Linked DNA regions of Arabidopsis thaliana. The protein of the gene in region 3 interacts with the protein of the main gene of each other region in a pairwise test. Each region holds a gene or a part of one and is shown on either strand. Other genes may lie near its edges. The genes, in order: AT2G25730, WAVH2, AT4G35110 and AT1G03140.

Evidence for each region.
Region 1: the proteins of AT4G35110 (region 3) and AT2G25730 interact in a two-hybrid assay, tested with the Arabidopsis thaliana proteins (one large-scale study listed by BioGRID).
Region 2: the proteins of AT4G35110 (region 3) and WAVH2 interact in a two-hybrid assay, tested with the Arabidopsis thaliana proteins (one large-scale study listed by BioGRID).
Region 4: the proteins of AT4G35110 (region 3) and AT1G03140 interact in a two-hybrid assay, tested with the Arabidopsis thaliana proteins (one large-scale study listed by BioGRID).

What each region holds. Positions count from the first base shown.
Region 1 is NC_003071.7:10,968,541-10,976,677, forward strand, and holds the start of AT2G25730 (zinc finger FYVE domain protein), read right to left. Parts: upstream 4,412-8,137; 5' UTR 4,190-4,411; coding exon 3,363-4,189; intron 3,209-3,362; coding exon 3,064-3,208; intron 2,654-3,063; coding exon 2,375-2,653; intron 2,242-2,374; coding exon 2,074-2,241; intron 1,979-2,073; coding exon 1,769-1,978; intron 861-1,768; coding exon 766-860; intron 539-765; coding exon 364-538; intron 127-363; coding exon 1-126. Other genes in the region: AT2G25735 (uncharacterized protein), read right to left, coding at 6,805-7,164.
Region 2 is NC_003076.8:26,257,103-26,265,700, reverse strand, and holds WAVH2 (Zinc finger (C3HC4-type RING finger) family protein), read right to left. Parts: upstream 4,566-8,598; 5' UTR 4,230-4,565; coding exon 3,828-4,229; intron 3,749-3,827; coding exon 1,997-3,748; 3' UTR 1,531-1,996; downstream 1-1,530. UniProt on the Arabidopsis thaliana protein: Probable E3 ubiquitin-protein ligase involved in the regulation of root growth. Acts as a positive regulator of root gravitropism.
Region 3 is NC_003075.7:16,710,716-16,718,528, reverse strand, and holds AT4G35110 (phospholipase-like protein (PEARLI 4) family protein), read left to right. Parts: upstream 1-3,737; 5' UTR 3,738-4,212; coding exon of another isoform or gene 4,213-4,226; 5' UTR 4,227-4,303; coding exon 4,304-4,326; exon of another isoform or gene 4,327-4,519; coding exon 4,520-4,665; intron 4,666-4,745; coding exon 4,746-5,041; intron 5,042-5,128; coding exon 5,129-5,869; 3' UTR 5,870-6,114; downstream 6,115-7,813. Other genes in the region: AT4G35120 (Galactose oxidase/kelch repeat superfamily protein), read right to left, coding at 512-848, 891-1,723.
Region 4 is NC_003070.9:753,761-761,327, reverse strand, and holds AT1G03140 (splicing factor Prp18 family protein), read left to right. Parts: upstream 1-5,024; 5' UTR 5,025-5,104; coding exon 5,105-5,947; intron 5,948-6,437; coding exon 6,438-6,857; 3' UTR 6,858-7,067; downstream 7,068-7,567. Other genes in the region: FZL (FZO-like protein), read right to left, coding at 1-7; AT1G03150 (Acyl-CoA N-acyltransferases (NAT) superfamily protein), read right to left, coding at 2,887-2,978, 3,069-3,129, 3,322-3,391, 3,642-3,774, 4,593-4,683, 4,790-4,867; PSAD-2 (photosystem I subunit D-2), read left to right, coding at 7,186-7,567.

The DNA.
Region 1 (8,137 bases), on a different chromosome or scaffold from region 3:
ATCGCCAGGATCCAAACCAGGTGTGTTACTTTTTTCAGAAAAACATGCCGAGGAGGCACTTTGCGTAGAACTGAGACGGATATCATCAATATGTAAGAGTGAAATAACTATGTTCACCATCATTATCTGCAAACAAAAGAGAACTCATGTTAAAAACATGTAAACTGTAACGTATTGCAAAAATATAATGTTTGATAGAAATAACACTGCGTGATGATGTAGTATGAGGCACACCATATATTTATCATTTTTATTCAAAGTAAATAGTAACGCACTTCTACTTTTTTCAATATGGTGTTACAACCAAATTGATGAGAAAAGCCCAGATTCTTGTAAATTAATCAATGTATATATGTATACTACCTTGCGTGGAACATTTTTAATGGCCTCCAAATGGTTAGTGAGGTCTTTTAAATGGTAAAATACTACTCGATGACTAGCATCTGTCTCATCCTTCATAGCCTCTTCCATTGCACCTAGTGCTAAAACGATTGCCTCCAGAGCATAACGCATATGCATCAGTTCAATATCTTCTATCCTACAGTATACGAAGACATAAAAGTGAAACCGCAACGATTCACCTCAGAAAAATAAAAATCAAAAGAGCTTTAAGAATGCACAAAACATTTCACAAAAACAAGAGGGCTATTGCAAAAATTGTTGTGAGGGGTTAGGTGCTAAAATCTAAACACAGATACATCTATCCAAGAAAGTAAAGAGACAACTGATCAAAGTATTTGTATATATATATTTTATTGAACTGACCTCTTCCAGGCTTCTGCAGTTGAAGCAATAGGTTGCATACTAATCAGTGAAATAGCATCTTGGAATTTTATGCCCGGAACAACGTCAAACAATACCTACATAATTGTATGCAGTTAAAACTTGTTCGGATTAAGAGCACCAAGAAAACATTCGGATTAAGAGCACCAATATCACTTAACCTAACAGAAACAATTTTACATGATCATACTAGGAAAAAATCACATGCCACTGCTAGTGCATAATATACCAGTACCTCGTTGACAAAGTTTGTCATAGCTTGGCAAAAACTGAAAGAATTAACAGAGAGGTTTAAAGGGAAGAGGAAAGAGGCAAACTCATAAATAGTAATTTGAAATACTAAGTGCCAAAGCAAACTCATCTATCCAGTGGAAAGATTTCAAAAAACATTTAGATTTATATAGTATGAAATTGATGGCAATGTCAGTGTCCTTCACAGTGACAAGGTTCATTATTTCAAAATACAGTACTAAAAGTTATTATGGCATAATGAAAAGTGCTGTATTATTCAGGAAAAAAGATGTATATTCTTTCATTCCTCCAAGAGCTCAGGACACCTAGAATACCAGAAGCTATCAAAAATTCATTTTATATGATCCAAGGAAACTTGCTAACTATAACAATGTGATAAACGAAACAGATATCTTTTAACCCAAAAAAAATATATATATATTTATCCAAAATTGACTTAAAATCCCACTGTACTCTTATTGTTGATTAGTACTCCTGATAAACCATAGTAACATATGCTACAATATCCTCGTGTTATCTATTCCTCTTCTTATTTAACTATACGTATTCCCTAGGAAGACAACATTCCTAATGTAAGCAAATATATCTAGCCAACATGATATATAATGAAATTTTCCACTGACAATACTAAATTTAATTATAGCTTAGAGAAATTTATTTGTACATATTCTTCCAGAACACTTTTCCTGTGGGGGATTAGTCTATGTAGAAAGGATGTTTAAGAATGTCCTACCCGAAGTGGACTTTGCGCTGAAAGCCTTTCCAATACAAGATTTTCAACAAAAGGATCCACCTCCGCATCATCATGCGCGGATGACACATTACCATGCATCAAGAAAGATGCCTTTGGAGTCCATGATTTACCAGAATTGACACAAGCAGCGAAAGATGCAAGTTCCAGCTGATAACATAACGTATCGCAGAGGTGTTCCACACAAGATTTCTGCCCAGATCATTGTGTCCTGTTAGACTTTCACTGTCATCTTCTAAAAATAATAGATCCAAATAGTAGTTTATGTGAAGGAAAAAAAAAGTTACTTCATCTGTCTGGTTTCCATAAAGAGAAGATTCTTCTAGCCGAAGTGCTTGCGAGTCACTAGTCCAAAGTAGCCGCATCAATTTTCTACGGGTTGCAGTTTTGCCCGGCAATAGATCCCAACCCATGGAGGCTACTAAAGGGCGAAGTCGGGGAAACAAAGTAAGAACCTGAAACATATGAGCAGAAGAGGGATTCAGATCCCAATAGAAAAAGGGAAGTCAAATGGGGTAGCAGCCAATCAACAATACTGCAGTAAGATAATGAGTACGAAGATATGTAACTTTATTCTATTCCACCTACATCATTAGCCTCCTGAAGCTTCTCTTTCTTTACAGAAGACAAAGCAGCACACATCACACACTCAAGAACATGTGATCCAGAAATACGAGCATAATGATACATATCTCTGAGACAAGAATTAATTGCCCTGCTCATAGGAGAACTTTTGTCCTCTATATTTCTCTCAGTTTTCAAGTCTACAAGATATCGCCGGAAACATTCAAGAGGGAGTGGAATTTGTTCATTGTCGAGAGATAAATGTAGTTGGCTATGTGGGAGGAGCATATCATCTTGAATACCCTGCCGAGGAAAACGTTGTAATCAGATAACAGCTTATAGTACAAGATAACTTACTCAAAGCCACACATACACATATTTCAATATCCACATATAAGCAAACCCATCAACTCAGACCAACCACTGAACTCAACTATCACCAGTGTAAATATTCACAAAGTATATAGAAGAAAAATGCCAACTGGCTATACCAGCTTCAAATTCCAGTATAATCAAGATTGACAAAACGGTTCTAAGTTCTTAATCGCAACAAATATAAGCTATACTACATTTACATATTAGCAGGTTCCGTAAACCACTTGTTCTTTTCTCAGTTCAGCAATATGTACCAAAAATAGTTGTATCTTACATGTGAAACCTTGTTTTTAATGAGAACGATCCATTATATCAGCTTTTATAAAAAAATTACCAACCTGGATCATCTGAACAAGATCTCCACAATTCGATGAGAGAGCTTCTTTATACATAAACAGCAAGTTCTGGCGCACCATGTGCCAGGAATCACCATATTCATCCTTTTTCTCCATAACTCTTGAAAGGAGAGCTTTTAGAACAGCACTATCATAAATAAGAAAACAGAATAATTGAAGTAAGTTCTCTATTCTTAAATATGCAAGAAACAAATGCTAAGGAACAGGAAGACAAATTGAAGCAGGAAATAGAACGGAATAAACTCATGTATTTGCGGAATGTATATAAATCAAGCACTTACTGATAGTTCTCTTTCTCTACTCCATAATCAAGGTGAAGATAACGAATGCGATCAGCTGCCCCGCGCTCATCACCTTCATCCAACTTTGTTTTCATAGCATCCAACTGTGCTAACTGAACATTCCTCTGTATCAAAGCAAACACATTGATGTTATCCAGCTCCGGAGAACCAATACATGTGGCCTCATTCATCTCCTTTCTCTGTTCTTCTCCCTGAACTTCCTCAACCAAACATGTACCGTAACTCTCGCAACCCGCAAGTTGCCTCTGAATATTACAACATAAAGCATCGAAAACATCAGAGTAATCCAATACTATACTCCTCAAAGACACAACTGCATCTTCCTCAATCTTATTACTTCCTTCACTACTACTAGTATCAACAACAAACTTCAACCTCTCAACACCTAACTCCAAAACACCTTGCAACACCCTTAAACAATTCCCTAATCCAGAATTTTCATCCTCACTCTCCTCATCTTCCTTAATCCTCTCTGTAACTCTATCGATCAAAACCTGAACCATCAACAAGAAATCGGCACGCAAACTTAGAGTTTCTGAATCAAATCCCCAAGGAGAAGTAGGATTTTCGAATCTCAGAAGCTCAATCGTGGAGAGGAACGAGAGAAGAGACGGGGAAGGACAAGAGCGTGACCAGAGGACATTATCGAATCTTCCAGCGTTGGAGACGATGGTTTGGAGAATGGTGAGTGCGAGGTCAGGGTTACGAACCCTGAGAGCGAGTAACGTAGCCTTCAATGGCTCGAATTGAGCCAGATGAAGGTGGTTCGCCGCGAGACGGGAGAGAATCTCCGTCTCTTTATCCATCGCCGTCACAAATTCCGATCACTGAGCTAATACATACCGATTAATCTGAAAATTATTTGCTCTGAAATTTTCCGTACAATCTGAAATATCTTGGCTGGATTTTTCAGATATTTTTTGTGAAGAATTTTTGGTCTGGAATCGTCAACTTAGCTGAGACGAGCAGAGCAGACCATTAAGGCTGGGACAGGGAAGCAAATGGGTTAACCCGATTGATTAAATTCGTTTCGGTTCTGACTTGTTAACCAATGGTTTTGCTTTTTATTTTATTTTTTGTCTTTGCTGACAAAAAAAGTGTGAAAAACAATTAAGATTTTAGACAAAAAAAAAAAACAAAAGCAATTAAGGTTCCAGTAGGTTTACATGTATAATGGCGGAATAATGTTTTCTTAGACTATCTACAATGGCTTATTGAAAAAATTTATTCAATAGTTGAATGATTACAATGGGGTATTGAATAAAGAAATGAATCCTATGTGGATTAAATAGTGTTGAATCTATTCAACAATGTTGAATCTTTAAAAATGGATCCTTCATTGCCACTTGTCATTAAATAATTGGAGACAGAAATTGTGGGGGAGAGTTAAATAAAGATAGGACATGTGTTGTTCTTTTATTTGCTACTGAAATTTCTTATATTTTATTTTCCTCTGAATTATTGGAGATCAATTATCTTATAAAATATTTATTTGTTTTAAATTATTTTTATACTAAAATTCATCATTTTCCAAACTTTATAAATAGAGACTTGTTTCATTTTATTTGGACACAGAAAAAATTACATCTATTTTCACTAAAAAAAATCCATTAGCCGATAAAACATAAAAGAAAACATCCCAACAATAACTCATTTAACACCCAAAATTCTATTAATTATCCATTTAAAACATAAAAGAAAAGAAAAATAATGAAAAAAAAATTTGTGGGGTAGGGTGTTGAATTTTATTAAACAAACCATTGTAGAGTATAAAATTTGAGTGGGTATTGAATTATTATGTGGAAGAGAGAGGAAATGATGTGGAAGAAAGAGAAGATGATGTGGAGGATGTTGAATCGAAAAACCATTGTTGATAGATTATGCGAATATGCAAAAGTTTTACCAATTAAGAAAATATGCATAATGTTTACCGAAACATCAAAACACAAAATAAATGAGTATATAATTGCTGAATTTATAATGCGATTTTTTATTTTACGAATTTCAGTATGCGAATTTTTTTATTCTTCTACTTTTTTTTATGCGAATTCTTCTACTTACGTTATTATGTGATGTTATCAATACGAACCTAAACTTTGGAGGCTCATTTCCACAGTCATCTTCATGGAGAAGACGTGCATCAATAGGCTCTAATGTAAGTCCAAGTACTGAAGATGATATCACTTCGGTAAGTCCCACGGTACTTTGATGATTGGTGAATCATCAAAGCTCAAATTCCATCATGAATAACATAGATAGCTAGAAAAAAACAAAAGGTTCACGATGTAAAGAAATAAGATACTCTGAAATCTCCCAAGAAAAAGTAGTATCACTCTATTAACCTTCGTCAAGAAGTTTTAGGATCCTACATTTGGTAATTGCAGGTTAAGAAAGGGGTGTGGAATAATAATCTGGAACAACTTTTAGCTTTTGTTTTTAATTCTCTGTTTCTAATTTATGGTTTGTTTCGCTTAGATTTGTCTAATAGTTCTTTATAAAATGTTTTCCCTTGTGTCTGTTTTTACTAGCTTTGTTGTTGTAACTTTTCTTTGGTTGGTTTAGTCTTCCGTATTGTTTGTAATGACATTTTGATCATTAATATAAATTCATCAATTGACCTATAATAAAAATATTCCACTACGTACTCATCAATACAAAGGAACAATGCAATTCATTATTCAATCAAAGGAATAATGAAAAACAAAACTCTTAAACCAAAAGGTGAAAAACAAAACCAAAATCTAACAATCAAAAATGTGATAGTCTTCCTCTAGTGTCCATTGTTCAAGATGCACACGTTCGGTCTCAATTGTTCTTCGAGTATACTATGCATAGTTGCTGCATAAAGGCATCAAAGTTCTACTGATTGCCCAAGACAGAAAGGAGTGTCAAGAAGCCTAGTTTGGTATAAAGGTTTCCTACTTTATTCAATAGTAGGCCATGCCTTATATATACATGAGATGAGATTAAACCTAAGCACTTACATATAAATTACACAATTGTAGTTAGACTATATAATATTTGCACATATGACTTACACAATTGTACTTAGACTATAGTATAATATTTGCACATATTGTGTATTATGAATCATTAATGATTTATAAATTGTAATGCTTAGGAAGTAGATTAATGTGAAATTAAGGTCCATCTTATTACTATAAAGTTTTTCAATATTTTCTTTTAAAAAAACGAAAGCAAATATAGTAGACAAAATGATTTTACAGAAGTAGAGAAACCCGGAAAGGAAGAGTGACTGAGAAGTAATGAGACATACTATAATTTATGACCTCCCACTAGAACAAATAAAATTAACTCAATGATCCTAACTTTTCTTTTCATTTGTTTACAATGCTAAGCCACATAATCTCATCATTTAAAAGAAGGTCTAAAGAAACCGAAGGAGAAAAGAAAAGTAAACTTAATACAAGAGAAAGCGTGTTTCTCGGATCCGTGTGGGATCAGCGAAGCGACAGGAGAAAGACCGTGAAAGATTCTCAGGCTCATCGTGGTCGTGCCATCCTGGACCTTGATCAAAATTCAAAGAGTAATCACAAGGCTCATAAGCCACGACCTTAGTGGAAGAAGCACGAGAAGGCAAGAGCTTAAGCTTCATCAACAAAACCTTCCATTTGGGCAAGAGCCTTTCTCTTCGTTGGTGTTGCTTCTGTTCTCTGCAACTCTTGCTATATCTTCCAAGTACAATTGTCTCTCTGTGAGATGAAGCTGATGATAACACGTTAACGTTCCATCTCTTTTTGCTTGAAGATTCTAACATCATTTCTTCCTTCTGTTCTGTTCTGTCTTTGTTTTGTTGGTTGAATATTTCGTCTTGTGTCTTTGTGAATATCTTAGCTGTGTTATTTATATTTTGTAGTAGATGGATGGATAAGGAGACGTAAAACTGAGACTAATTCAAAGTCAGCTTTGAAAGGCTTGTGAAACTGCGTTAGCCAACTTGTATGAATAATTAATTGGTGAAAGGGAGCATTTTAAATGCCGGTATCTAATCTGACTACTGAACTACAAAACAATAGTCAAAGTAGACGTTGTTTTGTCTTTAAATCTGACTTCGTTTTGCTGGTGACAACTAAATATACAATTAGTGAACATTACAGTAATTAGAGTAACTGAGTTTATAACTTTATAATAAAATTACATTGGTCTTATAAACGTTTTGTATTTTTTCTGCGTCTTATAACTATGATATGTGTAGACATATATTTCTGCGGAAAACATCCAAATTCCTGCTGAAACATTACGAAATTTTGTGACATACATTCTGTTGAAATTTCTCAACCAACTTGTGACAAATTTATGACAAAACTTTAAATCTGTTGAAAATTCCAGACAAAAATAAATAGTCAAAATGTATGTCGCAAATTTTTCGATGAACAAAAGATGTCAAGAAAGAATCGTCAACTGGGCTTCTCCAAGAACATATCTACTTGGGCCTATAACTCTTTAAAAGGTCCATCTGTTAACTTAGCCCACATACGAAATTGAGTCTTATGACTCATAAGGTATATAATATACCTTTGTTTTTTGGGCAAAGGTATATAATATTACCAAATTCTAAAACCGATCGGATATTTAGAATTATATTTCAAGTAATCCAAATACATAACGGTTCCCGTATCGATTCCAATTCTATAAAGTTTCATTTGTCACCACTAGTTACTATCTCTTCTCAATTGGAGTTTGACTCTATAGATGTAGAAAACGGACTACCGGAGTTTGGACCCAGTCCTTGT
Region 2 (8,598 bases), on a different chromosome or scaffold from region 3:
TAGATTTTATATATATATTATAATGGTGTTAACAGTTTCAACACCATTATAATATTTTACTTTCTGACAAAAAAATAAATATATTTTTCTTCTTTAAAATAGTCCACCGCCAATGAAAACAAATGGATTAACGGAGTTTGTGTGGTTATTACGATAATGTATTATTTTGTATGGATGACATATACTCTGAATTTGATGTAAATATGTAATAGAAGATATTGGTGGTTGCAACTCTTGCAAATACAAAGTCATCAATAAAGACTGTTAGAATAACTTAAAAACTTAAAGATAATCCAATCTTGGCTGTACTAAATGGATGGTTACTTGAAAACTAGATAAAATTTAATTATAATTAACACTTTCACTTTTGACCAGAGAAGAAAATTAACAAATTTACAAAGCCAAGTGTCAGTATACTGATCTGGACCGTTGATTTTCAATGTTGACAGCTTTCGGACACATCACAACCACGTCATATGGGCTAATCTCTCTCTCTGCCGCAGTACCAGGACTTTTTAATTAACACGTTCACCTTTTCGGAGTTGACCAAACATTTTCGAAATTATTAAATCTCTCCTTAAATAACCCATTACATTATGTAAAAGATAACTTTGGTGATTAATAGATTCATAGATTTGTTTTAGAGTTACATTATTTGGGCCTAAGCCTATTTTACATGGACCTATGTTTGTAGAGTAAAGGTTGTTTTCGGTATCTTATTTTCGTCCCAGGCGCCAAAGGTAAATGCTTTATTAATTGGTTTACATTATTTTTGGAATTCTCAATGGGCTTTACAGTTGCCGATTGCACAAACTGTAGCCCAACTGTGACAAAATCTCCCAAAAGTTGGATCAGCCATTATAACTCCAAATAGTGTGTTATACCGGGTTATTCTGATTTTCACAGAGTTCATTAGTACAAGTAATTGTAACATCAATGAATGTAATGCACCTTGATTAGTATTTTTTTAAGTATGGTGCGTCAAACCGTTTGACCATATATAGTTCGAGATTCTTTCCCTTTCATTAGTTGACATTAACATTGTCCATATGCAATATGTAACTGCGTGATGAATGATAGCTTAGTTTTTTTTTTTGTGAAAAAATAATAGCTTAGTTTTTTTAGTTATGATTTGACCATATATATAGTTCGAGATTCTTCTGCCACTGATCATTTTAGTGAATCACATCGAGAAGTGGACCTTTGACAATAGTTAATCATTTCATCCATTTTAAAAGTATACAAAATCATTGCATTCAAAACAAATTGCAACTTGGCGCTAGCTACATATAATTAGTAAATGTCTTAATGATATAAAATGAATGAATTTAAGCGAGAAGAAAGCTTTGCAACGGCGCATGACCTGGTTTCTACCACGGTGCACCCACCAAACCATTCACCAACAACCAACAAAGACAATCCCCACGCACTATTCAAATCATTCAAACCCGGTGCCTTCTATAACAAAATAGGCTATAATGATGATCACATGACTAATCATGATCATTCATTTGGAAAGATATAATATATTATAGATCCTCTTAAGTTAAACGGCATATGATAATATAAACTTAACTTTTGATTTTGAAGTCCAGCATTACAAGCACACTCTCTAATCCACTATACCTCAACTTTTAATTCTATATAGTACACAAAAAAAGCAGACTTCATTTATTTGATCTACAACTTTTTTTAACTATTCAGTCATTAATTTGGAGTTTTTGAAGATTACAAAAAGGAAGAAGAAGATAAAAATGCTAAAAGACCAATTAATTCCTTCTAATGTAGGGTCTCAATCTCTCTGCAATACAAAAGGCCACACCCGTCGGCTACTGCTTGTCGCTATCATGCACCTATGTGGGTCTTTTTCTGAATAATCATACTTCTATTATTTATACCTTACTAAATTATTGCTTATCCTCCTTATATAAATTATGTACCATTATATATTCAAAAATCATTGAAATCGAATTTTCGAAAAAAAGGGAAATTAAAATTAAAATCTGGCGTTTTCCAAGCCGTGCATATCGCTGACTCGATTTAAATGCTTCCTCATAATAGCCACTTTAGCTAATTTCTCGGCGGCTCTCCAAGCCGAAGTAGGGGTAAGCTGCTCCGGTTTATCTTCAGTTCGGTTTAATATACTATTTCTCGGTTTAATCCGGCTAAGTTCATTTAGCTCAACCTCCAAACTCCTTAAACTATCATCCGAATGAGACGCATTGGACCGAGCCGTCGTTAGAACCTGATACGCTCCGGATAAATCCTCACGCTCGATAAGCCGGCGTGAATCCGCTACAGCGCGGCACATGGAGTGTAAATTTCTCAGCCGTTCGATGCTTGAAGATACATATCTGACGGATTGTGGCCGTGGGATCAAAAATCGTTTTTCTTTAGGACATGTCATTGGCTGATGTGTCATTTGGTCAACGATCGACGACTGTACGGACATTACTTGGTGGGAACCACTCGACGAAGTCGGCACTTTGAGCTCAACGAGAAACTCTCTCTCCTCCTCCGCAAACAAATCTCCGACTTGGATGACAGAACCGGATCCGAAATTCTCGAGTCGACCGGTTAAAGAGTAAACCGATGAAATCTCAGTCAAATGAGATCCGTTGACCAAACTGAGATTTAGCTTCACGTTATGGAGAGTCACGTTGAGCAACGAAGCGATTCTTTCGGTGAACGCGTCTCGTAGCGGCGCGTGAAGCAACGCTCCAGGAGAAGCAATGTAAACGGAATGAACCGGGATCTCCGGACGAGAGAAACGCGTGGTAGACACGACGAACGGAATGCGCGTTGCGTTTAGTTTAGCTTTCAAAACTGCCTCCGGTTGATCTTGACCGTCCGATAAAACAAAGATGCTCGTTGACGGATTCTTCTCCCGCCGATCTTCAACGACTTTAACCGCTTTCTTCAACGCGTCGTTAACGCTCATTCCAACTCCGCCGGTGGTTTCCATTCCGCCGAGTGCGTCGACCATTCGCCGCGCCGATCGTCTTCCTTTCGCCGTCATTCGTCGTAACGGCATTAACCGTTTTGACCCCGTCGAGAAAACGACGATCGATAAACGATCCATTTCTCGGAGAAGAGAGATCACCGATCTCATCGCGTGTTTAACCGTTTGCAAATTAGCACCGCCGTTGCTTAAATCGAGAACCGTTACCAGATCTATCGATGGTCTTCGCGCCTTAATCGCATCGGTGATGGACGACGGCGACGGAGACGCTTTTAGTTTCATGATGACGACGTGTGTCTCCTTCTTTTTCCCGGTTTCCACAACGGCAGATTCCGGCAGCAACTTAACCTCCAGATTTCCTGAGATTGAAGGAACCATATCAGACGTAATCGAAGAATCTCGGAAGAATCCGGGGAAGTCATCGTCATCTTCAACGTCGTCGTTTTCGTCTGATTCATGTATAGTGTTGATCTGAGCAAGAGAAACCGGCGAATAAGCTAACGGCTCATCGTCGTTGTACACTCTCAGTGACTTCCCCGTTTTGATCTCTCGGATCTCGGGTCGTCTAATCGGGTCGGATCCGAAGTTATTATTAACAGCCGGATAATTCGACTTTGGCGCGTGATTCCATGCGGCAGAGCAAAACGGACAACGCTTGTCTTCTAATCCATTGACGCAAGAAAGGTGAAACGAATGTGAACACTCCGCCGTGAAAATTGCCGCCGTCGAGTTGCTTTGATTTGAATTCACTCTCTGCAAACAAATCGCACATCTACTACTATTACTCTGCATCCACACACACACAAAACGGAGCTTTAGATTATGTCTTTCAAATTAAGAACTTGATTGAATCAAAAGTAACTACCTTGTTGAGAAGAAGCGTGGCACGGAGGAGAGAGACGCCGCCGCCGCCTTGAGAGGAAGAAGAAGATGATGATTTAGGAGAAGAAGGGTTAGAGAAAAACTTGGGACTTGAGCTGTTACTAGTCCTTGGAGTAGCATTGCTCGTAGTCCTGCAATGGAGTTTGGGACTAGTTGGAAGAGATGGGATAGTGACTGATGTGGAAGCTGAGGAGCGGCATCCAGTGCCGCTTCCGCCGCGTGATCGGAGACGAGGAGTTGAAGGGTTGGATAAAAAACCAAACTTTGATCGGAATCTTGGTGTGGGAATTGGAGGATCAGTAGTGTGTAATGATGAATGTTGTTGAGGTTTATCTTGATTACTTGAAACGGAAGTGCAAAACGCTTTTCTCCAACCAAACACCATTTCCTGTGAGAAAGAAATAAGAAGAGAAGCTCTCTTTTTTTCTATATTATTCTTCTTCTTCTTCTTCTTCTATTTGTGGAAGTAATTATAGAGAAGAAGAAGAAGGACTTTGGGCATAATGGATCATAAGGAAGATGGAGAAATTAAATACTAAGATAAAGACTATAGAGAGATTTCTTTTTCTTTAGTGATGTTTCGATAAAGACATTTTTTTTTATGTTATTTTAAGTTGTAGGAATATTATAAGGTAAAAATTGTGACTTTTATGCGTGTGAATTGGCTTTTGTTTCCATTTGCATGTAATTGTTTTGCCTCGAAGAAAATAATCACTGATCCGTTAAGTCCTTCTTTTTTTTGGGTCAATTTTGCTATTTTTTTTACATATTTCAAGTGTTGTTTCATTGGGATGGACGATAAAGTTAAAAGTCAACGGTAATAACCGACCATATGCAAAATGAGATTTCAAATAACTTGAGACGCGGAGATCTTTGTTTTCCATTTGCATGTAAAATCTTTCTTTTCAAAATATTAAACAGTTTATTAGATTGTCTAATGTGGATTCCTCTTGAATGTTCCACAATGTGGTTCGATTATATAAATCATTTCCAATCTTATCGGATTCTTCGAAATGCAGATTGTGATGGAGTGTAAGGTCAAACATGTGGGCACGTGACGTTACAGTCTGAGCAATAAACGGTAAGCTTATTTTCCTTACGAAATATAAATGATACTAAAACACGTTGTATTCGAGTTATCTTCATGATTGTGAATTGAGTTGTATATTTAATTGATAGTTGCTTACGTAATTACATACTGGCTGGAGCGAGGAATTTAACCTAAAGTTTTGGGTTTGGAATTTTGTAAAAGGTCTTTGATGGAGAAAGGTCGAAAAGTTTTTTTTTTTCATTTATTTACCAACAAAATGATTTATAATATATGGTGACGACAAGAGCTAATGATATGACATAAAGATTAGACTGGTCCAGGTCCAGCAAATTTTGAATTCTTCTTGCTATTGCAAAAAAATTGATGGTTTTGGTCTGATTTTGATTTCGACACTTCTATTATTTTGATTTGACAACCTTTTAGATTGGCTGATCAAGTGCTCGAGATAATTAGTGTCCTAAATCAAAGGTATTAACTCCAAAATACAAATTACTGCAATTTGTGGCCTCTAGTATCTTGCAGTTATGCTGAAGAGCCACATGAATGAATGAAACAATAAATGGGTGGGTACATATATGATAAGGGGGCTGCTAAACAAAATTGTAGTTAAGCATTTGTAAATGGTTTGGTAGGTTTTTTAAGTGGCTGCCATTGTAGAGACAACACATGACTTCGTGCGTGCATGCCATGGAATCATTGATTATCAACCAAAAAATGAAAATATTAGTTAGTTAATCTTGTTAAGAATGTAATGACTTATATTATACGAATAGCTTTACACAAGTATATATACAAGTACAGAGGAGGTTACACTAGGGTTGTACAAATATAGAATGTTCCATAAAGGAGACAGAGGAATATTATGATATTAAAGAGAGATGATCCTATGTATCCTTAACACGCCCCCTCAAGATGGAGGGGCTATGCACACTCCAATCTTGTCTCGAAGTTCCGTGAAGTGATTTCGAGGAAGCGGTTTTGTTAATGCATCAGCGAGTTGGTCTCTAGTGTTGACGTGAGCCACACGAAGAATGCCTTGCTGAACTTGTCCACGAATAAAGTGATAGTCTATGGCTATGTGCTTCATCCTGGAATGGAAAACCGGGTTTGCGCAAAGGAAAGTAGCACCCACATTATCACAATAGACCACAGGCGGTTTGGGAAGTGTGATCCCAAGCTCCGTGAGAAGGCTGCATATCCACTGGATTTCACAAGCAGTATTTGCCACCGATCGATATTCAGCTTCTGTTGAAGACCTTGCAACGCTCTTTTGTTTCTTGGCAGTCCATGAGATTGGATTTTTCCCGAGGTAAACGATGTAAGCATTTGTTGAAACGCAATCTTCTGAGTCTCCGGCCCAATCTGCATCTGAAAAGGCATGAAGGGAGAGCTCGTTTTGAGCAGCAAAGAAAATGTCGTGAGTCGTAGTTCCAGCCAAATATCTAAGAACTCGTTTTGCAGCTTGCCAATGATCATTGGTTGGTCTGTGCATAAACTGAGAGAGGCGGTTTACAGCATATGCAATATCAAGTCTTGTGAATGCAAGATACTGCAAACTTCCAACAAGCTTTCTATACTCAGTAGGGTCGGAGAGAGTTATACCAGACATGAGTGTGAGTTTAGGAGATGATGCCATTGGTGTTCCTACTGGTTTGGCGTTAATCATGTTGTAGCGTTGAAGTAGATCAAGAATGTACTTTCGCTGCGAAAGATGTAAGCCCTTAGACGTCCGATGATCTTCTAGACCAAGAAAATAGTTGAGATCTTCAGGGTCTTTGATGGAGAAGCGAGCTGCGAGTGCATCAAGAACTTGTTGAATGCTTCCTTTGTGACTACCCATGATTAGTATATCGTCGACATACACCAATAGATAGACAAATTATTTGCCACGTTGCAGAATAAACAGAGAAGTGTCAGCCAACGAGTTTTGAAATCCCAAGGTGAGGAGATAAGTCTTCAATTCCGTATACCAAGCACGCGGAGCCTGTTTTAACCCGTAAATCGCTTTACGTAGTCGACAAACGAATGATGGATTGTCGGGATCAATAAACCCAGGAGGTTGCTCCATGTAAACTTCTTCTTTCAAGGTGCCTTGAAGAAAGGCGTTGTTGACGTCTAATTGTCGGATTGGCCACGATCGGGTTACCGCAACATCAAGAACAAGACGTAAGGTGGTCGACTTGATCACAGGACTGAAAGTGTCTGTATAATCACGGCCAAGTTGTTGATTATACCCTTTTGCCACAAACCTTGATTTGCACCTGCCAAGAGAACCATTAGGGAGAAATTTGTTTTTAAATACCCATTTACAACCAACAATGTTCTTATTAGGCTCTTGATACCATGTTAAGAATGTAATGACTTATATTATACGAATAGCTTTACACAAGTATATATACAAGTACAGAGGAGGCTACACTAGGGTTGTACAAATATAGAATGTTCCATAAAGGAGATAGAGGAATATTATGATATTAAAGAGAGATGATCCTATGTATCCTTAACAAATCTAGTTTAGTTGGATTTGATTTAACATTTGAAAAACTTGTATACCAACTTAATTCGAAAACTGTATGGAAGATTTTGAATGTCCTAACACAATCACAATTATTGTATATATATACTTGGTCTGTCCGGACAAAACTGCTAATCAAACCTTTCAAAGAAAAAAAGGAAAAACCAAAAAAAAAAGAACTTAACTAAACAATAAATCAATAATAATGCTGATACGATATATTTTGTCCATATATATGAGATCGTAAATCTCTCCCATGACTGATAACTGATAAGAAATCTATGGATACCATCAATTCGGTGGGTTTGTTGAAGGTCTACCAAATCGAAGAAACACACATTCATTCTCGTAATCGTACGTATATTCATTTATCTAGCTTCTTTTATTTGAATTTTTACGCAATATGCAATTCGATTCGTAGACTCAGTTGAATATAATTGACCTAATACCTAATGCTTATAACTAAATATTATAGATACTATTCTTGAATGCAACATTGAGATGATCAAATCATTTACATTTACAATCTTATTTTTCTCGTTTGATGAAGAAATAATTTTGGGGAACAACCATATATAGATGAGTGATAAAGGTATTGCCACGTTCCATTACTGAGAAGCATAATTCAATTCATATCTTTTGGAGACAAATTCGACATGTCATTCCCTAAGTCTATTTCATATATTTAATTTTAAAAACATTGAATATTACTATATAGTTTATCAACTTATATGGATGTATATAGTATGTCCCATTCGAATAAGTGCATCAAAGCGAAACGAATTAAATGAGATTCACGACCAATGATTGTTGTTTATGTGTATACTATTAAGTTCACGTGAAGCTAGCTACAAGAATCACAGATATATACTACATTATTTGGATTAAAGTTTTAAAGTAACAAGAGTGATTTAAATTCGACCCGTAGGTTCTCTTAAACTATGAGAGTACTATATGAGTCTTTAATTATCTTGATCGAATATATGCCTTGGAATTGATTAATTAACGCCTCTTTGAAAAATTGGACAGTTGAATATAACATTTCATTTTAGGTGGGGTTTAATCATATTGTTTTGTCAACGCTAACGGAATTATTAAAAATGAACAATAAATGATATCACAAAAATAATTTTCATAAAACAAATAAGCAAACCACCATTGCCAAACCCAAAGAGGCGCACTATGCTT
Region 3 (7,813 bases):
AAGAGAGAATCAAAGAATATCTCTGGATTTTTTCAAAGACGAAAAATTCCGAGAGCTTTTTGGCTAGAGCTTACAATGAAGAAGAGAGAATCGCAAAAAATCTTAAGAAGGAGATAGATAGATAGAGAGATAGATAGAGATAGATAAAACTTGCTAATGCGAAGAGAAGTGGTTTTGAAAGAGTGGTTTAAATGGGAAGAGAAAAGAGGATGGAGCTGGATTTGGTGTTGGCATTCAGATCAATACAGAGATAGTCAACTAACCCCAAAAGCACAATCTAATGAGGTCCATCTCTAAACAACTAACTAAAAAAAGTTCTAAAAGATCTTTAAAAAATTACTTAATTAGCAAGATCAAACACCTAGAAAACGATATTAAAAATCTTATGAAACAGCTTGCCAGCTTGTCTCTGATTTAAAGGAAATAGCAAGAAATCAAAACAAAACAAAAACTGCAGTGAGCAATCTTAGAAACAAAACCACAAATAATGTGTTGAAAGCAAAGATGAGTTTCAGACCGAAACACATTGGCAACTTGAGAGCTGATAAGACTTGGGGACGCTAGGCACAACAACATTGCAGCTCTCAACCTCCCCCCAAATCTGGGGTCCGAAATAAGACATACGCTCCTCCAACCTAATCACAGCACACCAAATTTCCTTCTCTTGGCTGCGAATAAGGGAATACCCGTCTAGAATCATGATCCACTCGCTCCATATAATTAACAGTTTCCCACCATAGTTAACTAACTGAATCGTACGGTAGCCACAACCACGCTTATCGTATAGAACATCCAAACCCATAACTCTTTGCCACGCTCGATGACTTGAGCTATACCACGTGTACTTCCTGCACACATGATCAGCAAACATTATATTTCCTATAACGCACCAAGGTCGTCCAGTTATAGGTTTCATAACTTTTTCTATACCGCCGGACCAAGGTCCAGTTATGGGTTGTAAATCCACAGACCCCACGTCTGGTAGCCATCTTCCTTCATTCGGATCATATGCATAGTTGTTACGCTTGGTGATTACGTATAGCCTTTCTCCAGAAACTGCAACTTTGTGATTCGAATGGACGGCATAATTAACACTAGGGCTAGGCAGCGGATTCCAAGTCTGAGTCTTTAGGTCGAAAACTTCACCACAATTCATGGATTCTTCCTCACTCTTTCTGCATCCTCCTATTACATATATATTTCCGTCTAAAAAACAAGACTTGGCGCCTACCCTTGACACTCTCATGTTAGGAGCACGACGCCACCTGTGAGTCCAACAATCAAGTACAAAAACAGCTCTGGATCGCTTGCCCTTGACAGTTCCGCCGATTTTGTAGATTTCGGTACCAGCAGCTACAGTGGTTGAGTTTACTCGAGTACGAGGATAAGAGGAAGAGAGCCTTACCGGTTCTAAACTTAGTTTACCCTCAATCTCGGCTAGGGTGAACCAGCGATGTTTTTTGGGTAACCACAGGCACACGTACGGGCAAGGCTCTGTCGCTCCGATGTGGGATCGGGCCGCGTAGATCTCTGTAGAAGAGAGAAGAGAGTAAAAGCTTTTGGAGACTAAAGAGAGGGAACGGTAGTACGATTTAGAGATCAGGGCTAAGAAACTTAAAACGATTTCATCTGGAAGTGATGAAATCGACATAGATAATGGAGTTTGAGCTGTGAGAATCGTCTTCTTCGTTTCCTGAGGTGGTTCTACTTTGGCGGTGTCCATAGCAACGATACCGTGTTTACTAAGCTCAGGTTTTAGGTCTCAAATTAGGTCTTATATAAGACAATAGTAAAAAGGAAATATTTTCTCCTTAGTTAAAATTAATGAACAAGTCCCCTGAATTAAAATAAAATACCAAATCGCCCGTTTTTAAAACAGATTTCAGTATTGAACCCTGTTAAAACCGGTTTGAAAACTAAAGTAATATTAAAAACGATAACAATTAACAACACATCGTTATATATACATTATGTTGTGTTACTGGAATTTCGGTGTTCAGTTTTTTAAACCGAACTCACCAAATTCGTATAAGAAAATCTATGGATTTATCGTATAAAGAACTTTTCTATGCTGCTTTCAAACTTTTTTTAAGATCCCTCCCTTGATTTTGGTATACCTTCAAATGTACATGTATACACAAAAAAAAAATGAAAGACAGAAAGATACACTTACACAATGTAACTTGCTTGATGATTCATAGTCATAGGATTTGAGACTTCTCTAACAATGCACTAAACTAGTCTCTTTCTTGGAAGATTTCTTGATGGAGACACGAGTAAGCTTTAGGGGAAAGAAGAATTTATCATGTTTCAGGTGACTCGTTCACACGATTGTGCAGGTATACTGACAATATTTCTATTTTTTATTAGAAAAATATGGATTTGGTCATAAATATCTAATTTTCTGGAAAAAAAAAAGAGAAAAAAGAAACACCAACGAAGACAAATGAATGAAGAGTAAAATAAAATTAGAGAACAACAGGGAAAGAAAAAGACATGTTGCATGAATGAAAAAGAATGGTCGTATTAGAGTAGTTTGCTAAATGATTTATTTAAAGAATGTGCATTATAGTATTAACAAAATCTTTTCATGTCTTTTTAAAAGCCAACGCTCTAGAGTTGACTCTATGTATTTCTTCTTCTTCTTCTTCATGATATGAAGTCTGACCCCCAACAAAAAAGGATGAAAGTATTTTTGGGGAAATGGTCATTTATCGCTTCTGGATAAGCTACTCGCATTTCGAAACTATATTGTACTAATACTAAAATTACGACTTACGAAAGATGACACAATTAATAACAAAAAGATGCTTTTATCAGATTCTATAATAAATGTTGTTTCCTATCGGATCAACATGCATGCACTTTGACAAATCGGGTAGAAAATTTCCTTCCTTCGGATTGAATCATAAAAATATGTTTTACCTAAGCAATCTCCATAATATTATCAGAAAATTTGGTATCAACACTTATTCGCAAGTAATGATATTTATATATTTGATTTGATTTATACTTATCTGCAACAACAATTAGAAAAAATACTAAGAGATCCAATGTAAACATAACTTTATATTATCTATATTTATTAATTGAAAGATGTCTAAGTTTTATTGGTTAAGTAATAATGGACAGCAAAAAAAAAGATAACTTCTATGCATAAAATTAGACAAGAGATATAGCAATATGGTTAAGAACTTGAGATTCTTAAGAACCTCACGTGTGATGCAAACAATGACACGCAATAACGCGTTTTAACTGACAACTTTCTTTCTTTATTTTTGTCTCTTAAATTTCTTTTCCTTTAAGTGGTTACAGATTTCTACTTTCGATTCTCGTCGACTCTAAAAATCTCACTCGTATTTGTATAACCGTCCCACGTTGTTGTCCACTTCTGGAAGATAAGTGAGGTGTGTGATTGATTGCCGTTTCCAACCTCTTTTCAATTAAATGCTTCTCTCTATCTTCAATTGGTAATATTGGCTTTGGTCAATTCATCATCATCATCATATTATTATTATACCAAAGACAATGTCACATGAACCTTATAATATACACAACTGTTATACCTTATAAACAAAAATAAAAATCAACATTTTATTCATTTTTCTCCGCTCATCACATTTCTCTCCCTCTTCCGATTCTCCTGGTATATCTCTCTCTCTCTTTCTCTTTATTTCTCTGTTTGTTGATTGATTGCATTTTTGTGTGAATTAAAAGTTTGGTTCTTTGATCCACAAATAGATTCTTGATCTCGATCAGAATCGTGGGTTTGCTTTTGTTTTAAGAATTAATTCAATGATCGATGATGAAACTGATTGATACTGTTTTATTGTCATATGCTCTGTTTCTTTGCTCTGTTCTAAGGAAATTTTGTGACAAACGACAATCATGGAAAACGAAATTTCAACCTATTAAAAAAATATTATCCACAAGGGTGGGCCTTGGAAGTTTTTGTCTGTTCAAGAAAACAAGCCGGTCAAAATAATCTACCTTTTAACTCTGGTCTAAGTCAATAACTGAGTGCTTCCACCGTTGAAATTTAGTATCTCACTGGAAAATTGTACTTGGAAATTGCATGGTCGGTCCATGAAAGTATTAAGGAGAAGAAACAAACCAAAAGTCGTCTTTTTGTATCTCTCTATACCTATACATTTTATGATTTGATTGGTTTTGTGGGGATCAATTTCACTATTACTCGTAAGAAATTTCTTTATGGATATGTTTTGGTGAATCTCTCTCTGCTTCTCACAATCTCCCTCTTTACTTTTTTTCTTTCATCATATAAAGGGTTGGTGAAATATGAATGGAATCCAATTTCGTTGGGAGGTTGTTGTATATTATAAGTTTTTAGTGTCTAATCTTTTTGAACTATTTGTTGAAATTAAGGTGTAAAGGTTTGACCACTTACTTACCCTTAATGTGATATGTTCAGTCCTTTGACACCACAAATTTGAAGTTCTTGTGTTGTTCTTTGAGTTTGTCTTCTTTGAGCTGATTAGTTATCTTGATTTTGTTGCAGTTGTTCCATTCATCAAAAAGCTATGGATTTCAATAGAAAAGCTCATCCAGATTGCGTATATGCGGATAATCCTTTCCATGAATGTGCTTCAGCTTGTTTAGAGAAAATTGCTCAAGGCCATGTCAAGAAGAACACTAAGAAGCAAAGTACTTTTTTCTGCTTTTGATTTTGCCATTTTAAAAACTTTTCCTTTATGGATTCTGATTCTTGTTCTGTTATGTTACAGGTTCAAGGCTTCTTAGCTTCTCAGGGAGTTTCGGTAGGAAAAAGAAGGAGTCGAATTCACAACCGCCTACACCGCTATCCGCAAGGCCTTATCAAAACGGCAGAGGCGGTTTTGCAAATGGTAATTCCCCAAAGGTTCATCATTCTGTAGCTCCACCTGCTTCCGTGAAGAAGAAGATTGTTTCTGAAACGAAAAATTCTTTCACTTCTTCATCATCCGGTGATCCGGATGATTTCTTCAACCATAAACCAGAGAAGAAACCTTCTCAAACCATTCCCCTTTCATCAAACAATTTGGTATCTCATCCTTTACTCTCTTCCATGATTTCGACCACCATATCTTTACCATATTTGTAAACATCAAGATTCTTGTATCTTATGAAGGTTGATCAAAGCAAAGTGGTATCACCTAAACCGGGAATACAAGAACACAATGGGAAGATTGGAGAAGGCGGCGAAACTAGACTCTTTAGTTTCCTAAGCCTTCCAAGATCGCCTGGAAAAGAGAGCAATGATGATTTTTCTGATGATGATGACGAAAACAACAATGAGATTGGTGTAGAGCTCGATCTCGAATCAGTAATGTCTGACACTTTTGTCTCTGTCGGGAAATACCGAGTCAGATCGGGTTCATCCACTATACTAAGTGCTGTCATCGAAAAGCACGGAGACATTGCTCAAAACTGTAAGCTGGAATCGGATTCAATGCGATCACGTTACCTCGAGTGTTTATGCTCACTGATGCAGGAACTTAGGTCAACCCCGGTAGGGCAGTTGAGCAAAGTCAAGGTCAAAGAGATGCTTGCGGTTCTCAAAGACTTGGAGTCTGTGAACATTGAAGTAGCTTGGCTACGTTCTGTTCTTGAAGAGTTTGCGCAGTCTCAAGAAGATGTAGAAAATGAGAAAGAGAGGCATGATGGTTTAGTGAAGGCTAAGAGAGAAGAGCTTGAGGCTCAAGAAACGGATTTGGTTAGGATGGAGAAGGAAGTGGTGGAAGTGAAGCGGCGGATTGAGGAGACGCGGGCTCAGATGGTTGAGATCGAAGCAGAACGGTTGAGGATGGAGAAAATGGGATTCAAAATGGAGAAATTTAAAGGGAAATCGTTTATAGATGAGCTTCTGTGAGTTTGAGTTGTGTGTGATGTTGTTAGTAGTAAGCCAAGGGTAGTAGGTAATAGCACAAAATCAAAAATGCTCTAATAAATGAGTTTTTAAGGTTAGGGTTTTTAAGTATTATGGGAAAGCTGGTATTTATTGGTAACTTATAAAAAATATTAAGATATTTGGTTGTTGCTAATAAATACGTTTTGATTTGTGTGATGCATTTTTCTTTGGTTATGTTTTTTTTTTTTTGGTTTCTTTCGTTTTCTATAATGGGAAAGATTACAAGTTGCCTTCGAGTTTGGAAAACGAAAGATTGTTTATTAAAAATTAAATTCACAACTATATTTATTGTGTTAGTTATAGCAGAACTTGTTGAATATTGTATAGTATAGTTCTTTTAAATATGTGTATAGAAAATGTCAAAACAACACTTTTGCAAAATAAAGGAATGAATAATTTTGTTGAGTTCATTCTTTATTACACTCAATTTGAGCTCTACTCTTCGATTTTTTTGTTACTTTGTTTTTGTCGAAAAGTAGATGTTATTCCATAACGATGATTTTTAGGGGATTTTAAAGCCAAATATATCTTATGTTTTTATGTTATTCACTAGTTGATTTTGTTACATAATTGTTAGATTTGATATTTTTAAAAGTAACAAAGTATCGTACTCTGCTTTTAAACCGTTTGCAACGGACAAATCAATCTGTTATTTGCGACAATGCTACTGGGCTTCAGTTACTCATGTCGGCTTTACACCGAGCCCACTGAAACATGGCCCAACGGGAAGCTCCCCGTTGGGTTTGCTCACGAAACGAAGATTTAAGTGTAAACCGGAGAAGTTGAACCAGAAACCTCCAGATAAAGGTTTGTGGACCACAAATTGTGCTTGGTTTTGTTGCACAATGTGAGTAAGTAATTATAAATAACCTCATTGGAGATTCAGATCTTAACTAATAGACAGCAGTTACTTCAATCGTCTTTACTAGAAAAAATAAAATAAAATCTTTAAGTAGGCTCCAAAGGCTTTCACAAGATGGCAAATGACCTCAAAAAAACAAATTAGTTATCACGTGAAATCACCTTGACAGCCAATTTTTCCAGACACATAAAAAATAATCCGTAACATGGAATGATTAAAAAAGTTCGCAACTTTTAAAAAGTCTGAATTAGTGATTTATATCCAAAGTTGAAGATGTTTTTTGTCAACATATTATGACATCATTTCTTTCAAAAAAATGGACAGACAACTAAGTTTCACACTCAGCTGCTGTCTGTTTCAAGTTTATGTTTTTAGCTATACAGCATCAGATCGGTTAAAGTAAATCGGTTTAGGGATAAGCAGAGGGGTGAACCGGCCGGTCACATAAGGTATTTTGCAACTTGCAAAATTGCTATTATCCAGAACCAATAAAGCAATAGCTATTATAAAACAAAATTTAAGGCCCAACTATATGATGGTTCATACTTCATAAGCTGCTAGGGTTTACAAAGTTCAAAATGAGTGGACCATATTGAAGCTAAGAAGAGATAACGAAGAATCGATCATAACGGCTAAGTATTTAAAATTAAAACTGAGACACTAGGCGTATTAACCAGTAAAAGCGTGAAGGCCATCGTTGTGGTCCTTCTCTCTCTCTCTGTCTCCTCTGCATTCACTTTTCTGAAAAGACGAGACGTGAATTATTACTACTATTCCATGTAGACAAATTCGTATTTGTATTCATACTATTTTAAAGCCAACTCTCACTGTCGCAATTTACATCCCATAGACAAATTTAGTGCTTATTGCTTCCATGAGCATTTTCTTTTTTTTTTCTCTCTTTAATCAAATGCATTATTCAATTAAGTTGGTAAAGTCTTTTATACAAATAATTTCCTAATACATCCAAACACATATGCGTTTGGGTGGGTCTAAAGACTCTTAGCCAAAAGGAGTCTACTATATAACAATAACAATAACAA
Region 4 (7,567 bases), on a different chromosome or scaffold from region 3:
TTCTCATGGAGAGAGAAAGAGAGAGAGTGAGATACCTTCGTCTGTGTTTCTGATTAGTTTTCTTATCTCTTAAATATCCTATTGGCCCATCCCAAAGCTATAAGACGGACGGCGCGATTAATTACTTTTCAAACACATGAATTAACGTTTTCACATATGTGTTCATATCCAAAAGGTCCAAAGTATACCACGAAAAGGGAGAAAAACAGATTTAAATTCGTGAAATCCCTCTCCCACAATTAAATTTACTTCTTCCAAACAAAGACAAACGGCTTGAACCAGTCAAGTAAGTGATACGGCACCACTAGATGTTCCAGAGCCTCCATCTTTTTTAATACGAAGAAGATTTGTCCTTTGTGTGTATGAATTTAACAAGTTTTAATTATAGATTTGTGTGTGTATGAATTTAAAAACCTAGTACGTAGCATCAGGGAATGATATCATAGCTATTTTAGTTGAGCTTTCAAATAAGAGATGATCAAAATTTAGAACTTCTAAGAACATGAACGAATAAACAACTATTTTCTTTTCAAACCAACTAAGGTAGATGGTCACTGAAAGTATATACATCAGATAAAAGTTGCTTGTTATTCCAGATGAAGTTGGACCGAGAAAAAAAAAAGTTACTTGTTATTCAATATGTTTGGATCTTTGTCTTGCAGATTGCTATATAGGGTTGATAATGGGCTTCGTTGTAATGGGTATACAGTGTATAAGAATCGGCCTTGTGCAACCAATCCTAATATGTGTGTCTCATTAAGGTAAGTGCTTAAGATTAGAAGAGTAAAACACTTGACTTATCAACTATGTCAACTAAGGGTTCTATATTTTTATTAAATAAAAAATAATTGAATATTTTTTAGAATGATTTAATAAATTTAATGCTATTGTTTGATTTAAATGTATAATTCACCGCGAGAAGAAATTTTATAACTCAAATTTTAAAGTTTTAAGTTGTATTTGTTTATTTTGTTAAATGTTTAATATTGTATAATTGTATTTTGATTGTTGTTTCTCGGATTTCACCCGTAGTACATCATCCCATATTAATATCGAATCAAACCCGTCAATTCTAAAATTTCACCCGTGGTAGTATTTAATTGTATAATTATATTTTAATTGTCATTCTAAGATTTCACTCCTAATTCTATCGCAAATTATTATCAACCCAAACCAGTCAATTCTAAAATATCACCCGTAGTACACCATCCCATATTAATATCGAATCAAGCCCGTCAATTCTAGGATTTCACCCGTGGTAGTATTTAATTGTATAATTATATTTTAATTGTCATTCTAGGATTTCACTCCTAATTCTATCGCAAATTATTATCAACCCAAACCAGTCAATTCTAAAATATCACCCGTAGTACACCATCCCATATTAATATCGATTCAAACTCGTCAATTCTAGGATTTCGCTCGTGGTAGTATTTAATTGTATAATTATATTTTAATTGTCATTTTAACTCCTAGTTCTATCGCAAATTCTTATCAACCCAAACAGTCAATTCTAAAATTTCACCCGTAGTATAAAGTTTAAATATTTATAATATTTAAATTTCTTATAAAAGAATCAAAATGTGTTTTAAAAAAATTAAAGTTTTAAGTTTTTTTTTTTTAATATTGTTAATTTTGTTTAGTGTTTAAGATTATATAATTACATTATGATTGTCATTATATGTTTTTCTCCATAGCATACTATCCCATGTTATTATCCACTCAAACCTGTCACACCATATAACCCCGTCCCGTGAAATTAAACACAAATTTGTCATTTTATTATAAATTTCAAATATTTATAAAATTAGAAACTTCAAAAAAGATTAATATTGACCCAAACTTCATCATTGAATTTTGAGTGTTATATCTAAGATTTCTCTCGCAATATATCGTCCCGTATTAATATCTTTTATATTGTTTAAATTTCTTGTAAAATTTAATTTATAATTTTTTAAACTTTTTAAAGTTTCAATTTTTTAAAATAAATAACCCTAGGAAACAAACCATTTTAATTTAAAGATAAACTTTATAAAAAGTTTTTAAAATTATAATATTTAACTTTTGATAAAGTTATAATATTTATAATTTCTTGAAACATTTTAAAGTTTCAATTCTTTAAAATAATAAATCCGAGTAAAATCAGATAACTATTTTAATTTTGGACGCTTGATAAATCAAGCTTCCTGCTCATTCGTAATCAGAATCATTTTGGTCCTTTTATAATATGGGTCTGAACCATTGTCCAATTTTTCTAAGCGATGTGGGACATTGTACACATATTATTTCTTCATAGGTTGAATAATATATGTCCGTTTAAAAAACTTTGAATTACATCATATTCAGAAAAAAATATAATATTTTATTAACTATATATATTTTATATAAATTCAAAATAAATAAAGTATAAGATCAAATAAAAATGAAAGAAGAATTATATATTTATGTTTAAATTAGGTAGAAATATTTTAGGAAATTGGTTAAGGTAAATAAGAAATATGGTTAGTTTAGAGATATTGTTTATATTAAATCATTAATTTTCGTTTTTAATTATTAGTTTTTAGGTAACTTTTCCAAAAATTAATGTTATCCAATATCAGAACAGAATTAAACATGTTATCCAGGATCCGAACAGAGTTAAACCGGGTAAAACCCAACCATTTGAATTAATTGTTGAATTATGGCTCAAATCTTCAACATTATCTTCAAAAATCTCCTCCAAAAATGTATATATAGATTAAAGTTTAATCAAAACTAATTATAAATTTGTGTGGAAGAAAACGAAACATAATAGTTCAAATACGAAACAACAGGAATAGTAACATCATCTAAAGGCTCTTGGAGAAATTTTTAATGCAGATAACAATTGTGAACCAAGTTAGGGTCTTAATCATACTCTAATTCATCAGGTGTGATAGGTCTCTTGAGAGGAATCACAGACTTTTTCTCTACATCTCTTGATAATGCCTTCCTCATATCTGTTTTTTTAGATCAAACGATTTAAGATTTAAACAAAAGAAAAAGTTAAGCGCGAATCATAGATAAAAAGAAGTTAATCAAAGCCTCACCTAATCCATCTTCCTCTCCTGAATAATAGCGTAAAACCCGCCTATAAATTATGTATCCAAGCTGCCAGAAAAAGGAGAAACGGTTTGTTTCATCAAAATGGCCATCAAGAAGAAGCCTATGAAGGAGATTTGACACTAATAAATGGAAATATGTAAAATGTGTGCATGTCCCATTTACAACTTCTTCTTTTTTTCCTACAATGTCATCAACATTATGAGGCTTCTAATCAATTTCATAATCCTAATATATTACCTTTTCATACATCTTGATGGCTGGTGTGTTGGAAGCTCTTACAAAAAGATCCACAAAGTAGGCTTTATCACTGCAATCAATAACCACAAGTATAATAATCATTAGAAGACCAGAAATTACCAGATAATATATAAAATCAATGAGGAGAAATTCAAGATTTTCTTCCTTTGAAACAATCTAAATATATCGGTTTTCAAATAAATAAATGGTCCACTCGAAAGCCAATATCAATATATTAAGGCTTTCATATTTTATATCATAACGATCCATATCAAAGAGAACACTAAAACTTGAGATGCTTTGTAATTGTTAAGTCTTACATCTTATCACTTATATCTTCCAGAAGGTTCATCAGTTTCTTTGCAAGTTGCTGCCTGCGGTATTCTGGAGAGACAGTGACGGCTGTCACATGACCATGCCAAGATTCACCCTGTCCTTCAACTTTACCCATAACTGAAACCATGTAGAATCTTAGTTAGACACATGCTTTTAAAATTATATTTATAAGAACAAGTTTTACATATGTCACTTACGTTGGATTCTCAAGAATATCAACCATAACATTTCAACTATACAAAAGAACATTTCAGTGACACTGCTTAATTTTCAAATGTGTTAATATCCAAAAGCTTAGTTTTACTCTCAGTTCTTTCAATGGTTTCACTATACTTCCAAGGTCTCTTTCCAAACTATACCACGAAAAGGGAGAAAAACAGGTATAGTAATAGGGCACCACGAGAACAGAACGTCAATAATGAAGCATATATCGTACTTGAAGAAAATAAAGAAAGATAAAGCCTTGTATAAATCACATTTCGAACCAATCCAATAAGGTATAGCATCATTATACTACAAACACTGAAAGACAGAAAAATTTGAGCCTTGATATAACTCATAACTCATTCTCTGGACATTTAGAAGTTAGCACAAACAATCTTAAGCCATGCTTCCTATGCATCTTCTACCCCATATCAAGATTTCTAAAACCGCTAACTACAGAGACTAGGACTAATACAAGCAGAATTTGTTTAAACACTTATACATCCTGGTTTGTGTTAATCAGTTTTCAAACAGAGTCACTCTTCCTGGTTTTAACAACATTCAAGCTATCTCCATCTGATAACCAAAAAAAATCAATAGTGGCTTTTACACTAACAGTTTATCATCTAAGTTTCAACCCTAAAAGTAAACATAATCTCCACGAATTTCAAATTCCTAAACCAACGAAGACATAAAGAAATCAAAACGAAGAGAACAAGAGGATTACTTACTATAACCCATGACACGATTGCCGGGACCTTCAGCAACATGAAAATAGTCAGGCCATCTCGCTAAATAGGTCATGTAGAAGGACATATTGAACTGTTTCACGAAACAAAATTCGAACAAAAATCAACAAAATCGCCATAGCAAAACAAAGCAATAATCAGACGAAACCAGATAATAAGAAGAAGAAACACGAGATTACTGTTTCAGTGAGGTGGTCCAGATTCACGGAAGTGAATCGGAGAAGGTCATTGCAGCTGAATCTACGTATCGTCGTCATCTCTTCTTTTTCTCAAATCCCTTCGAGCTTCGTCAGATTCTCTGGAAAAAGAAAGAGGAGACAACAACAAAGCAATATACATGGCCCAGTTAGAAAATTAATAAAGCCCATTTATATTTGGGCCTATAACACTGATGACGTCATGTAAAAGATGATCAAATTTCATTATCTCCCGTCGTCGCGACCTTCTCAGACAACAGAACCAAATCCTCGGCGGCGATTGAAGAAACCTTTCCGATGGATCTGCTCAGGGAAGAGATTCTGAAGAAACGTAAGAGTCTAGCTGAGGAATCTGGTGGTAAGAAGTTCTTCAAGCGGTCTGAGATCGAGCAGAAGAAAATCCAGAAGCTTCGAGAGGAAGAACGACGCGAGCACGAGCTTAAGGCTCAGCGGAGAGCCGCCGCCGCCGCTTCCGGTGGAGATGGAAAATCATCCGGCTCTGCTCCTGGTTCTTCTAACGCAGCTACGTCTGCGTCTTCCAAATCCTCTGCATCGGACGCTGCTGCTATCGCCGATTCAAAAGCCCTAACCGACGAAAACCTAATTCTCCCGAGGCAGGAAGTGATTCGTCGTTTGAGATTCCTTAAGCAGCCGATGACTCTCTTCGGAGAAGATGATCAATCGCGGCTCGATCGACTCAAGTACGTTTTGAAGGAAGGATTGTTCGAGGTTGATAGTGATATGACTGAAGGACAGACGAATGATTTCTTGCGTGACATCGCAGAGCTTAAGAAGAGGCAGAAGAGTGGTATGATGGGAGATAGGAAGAGGAAGAGTAGAGATGAGAGAGGAAGAGACGAAGGTGATAGAGGTGAAACAAGGGAAGATGAACTTAGTGGTGGTGAATCGAGTGATGTTGATGCTGATAAAGATATGAAACGTTTGAAAGCTAACTTTGAGGATCTATGCGATGAGGATAAGATCCTTGTGTTTTATAAGAAGCTGTTGATTGAATGGAAACAGGAGCTTGATGCGATGGAGAACACTGAGAGGAGAACTGCAAAAGGGAAACAGATGGTAGCCACTTTTAAGCAGTGTGCTAGGTATCTAGTTCCTCTCTTCAACTTATGCAGGAAGAAGGTAAAGATTCTTGCTTTCGATTGTTAATTAGGTGTAAATCATTGTTTGGCAAGAAAATTGTTAGGGAGATTATCTCTGTTTATGAAATTGGAGATAGATTATCTCAGTTCTATCTAATAAGCTTAGAGAACTATGTTTATTAAGCATAGTTTGGGTAGGAAGACCAATGTGCAGTGTTTAGGTTCCATTAGTTTGTGTACTTTTGATTATATGGCGACAAGGACGAGTTTTCTAATAAGTTCTAGTGCTAGGTAGACAATGAGAACGTAGAATAGCAAGTTGGAATCTGTATGCACCTTGAATTTGCCATTGAGGCCTCTGTTAGTTATCTCCATTTAGCTGAAGAAAAATAGGCTGGAATGTTGAATGCAGAAAAAGTTTCTCTCTTTCTGTCTTTGTCTTATAAGTGTTAAGAATGTATACTTTCTTACACTGAAATTTTATGAGGTTTCGTGAACTTGATCTTTCTAGTTATGGCTTAAAATTGCAGGGTTTACCAGCTGACATTCGTCAAGCTTTAATGGTGATGGTTAACCACTGCATAAAGCGAGACTACCTTGCTGCAATGGACCACTACATCAAACTAGCTATCGGGAACGCGCCATGGCCTATTGGAGTGACTATGGTTGGTATTCACGAACGTTCAGCTCGAGAGAAGATTTACACCAACAGTGTTGCTCACATCATGAACGATGAAACCACTCGCAAGTATCTTCAGTCAGTTAAAAGACTGATGACTTTCTGTCAAAGACGTTATCCAACTATGCCTTCTAAAGCCGTTGAGTTCAATAGCTTAGCCAACGGAAGCGACTTACAGTCTTTGCTAGCCGAAGAGAGATTCTTTGGTGGTAATCGTGAACAGGTCTCAGAGGAGAGACTCCGGCTCATGCCTTCTCAGAGCGAAAGCTAGTCTTACTGTGTTTTCTGCTTTGTTGTGTTTTTATTTTTGTATCAAAACGTTGACTCTGTATTATCGTCTATTTAAAACGTTGACCTGATTGTCTAGTCTTATGTGGCATGTGGGAAACATATCCAAACTCATAAAACGACATGGCCTAAAGATCTAGTAAGGGTAAGAGGAGAATCGAATCTTGGAACCTTATTGGTCCAAATGGTATGATCACCTTATCCCAAAATGTTCGATTCTCATCTACCCTCTCGTTGTCAGATTCTATTAAGCCATTTCATCTCTATCCATTTACTCCACAGAGAAAGATTCAGAGAAAACAGAAGAAACTATGGCAACTCAAGCCGCCGGAATCTTCAGCCCCGCCATAACAACCACTACTTCCGCCGTCAAGAAACTCCACCTCTTCTCATCAAGCCACCGTCCCAAGTCTCTCTCCTTCACCAAAACCGCCATCCGCGCCGAGAAAACAGAGTCCTCCTCTGCTGCCCCAGCCGTGAAAGAAGCTCCAGTTGGATTCACTCCCCCGCAGCTAGACCCAAACACACCATCACCAATCTTCGCCGGAAGCACAGGAGGTCTCCTCCGTAAAGCACAAGTAGAGGAATTTTACGTGATCACATGGAACTCACCGAAAGAACAAATCTTTGAGATGCCAACAGGAGGAGCTGCGATAATGAGAGAAGGACCGAATCTATTGAAACTGGCGAGGA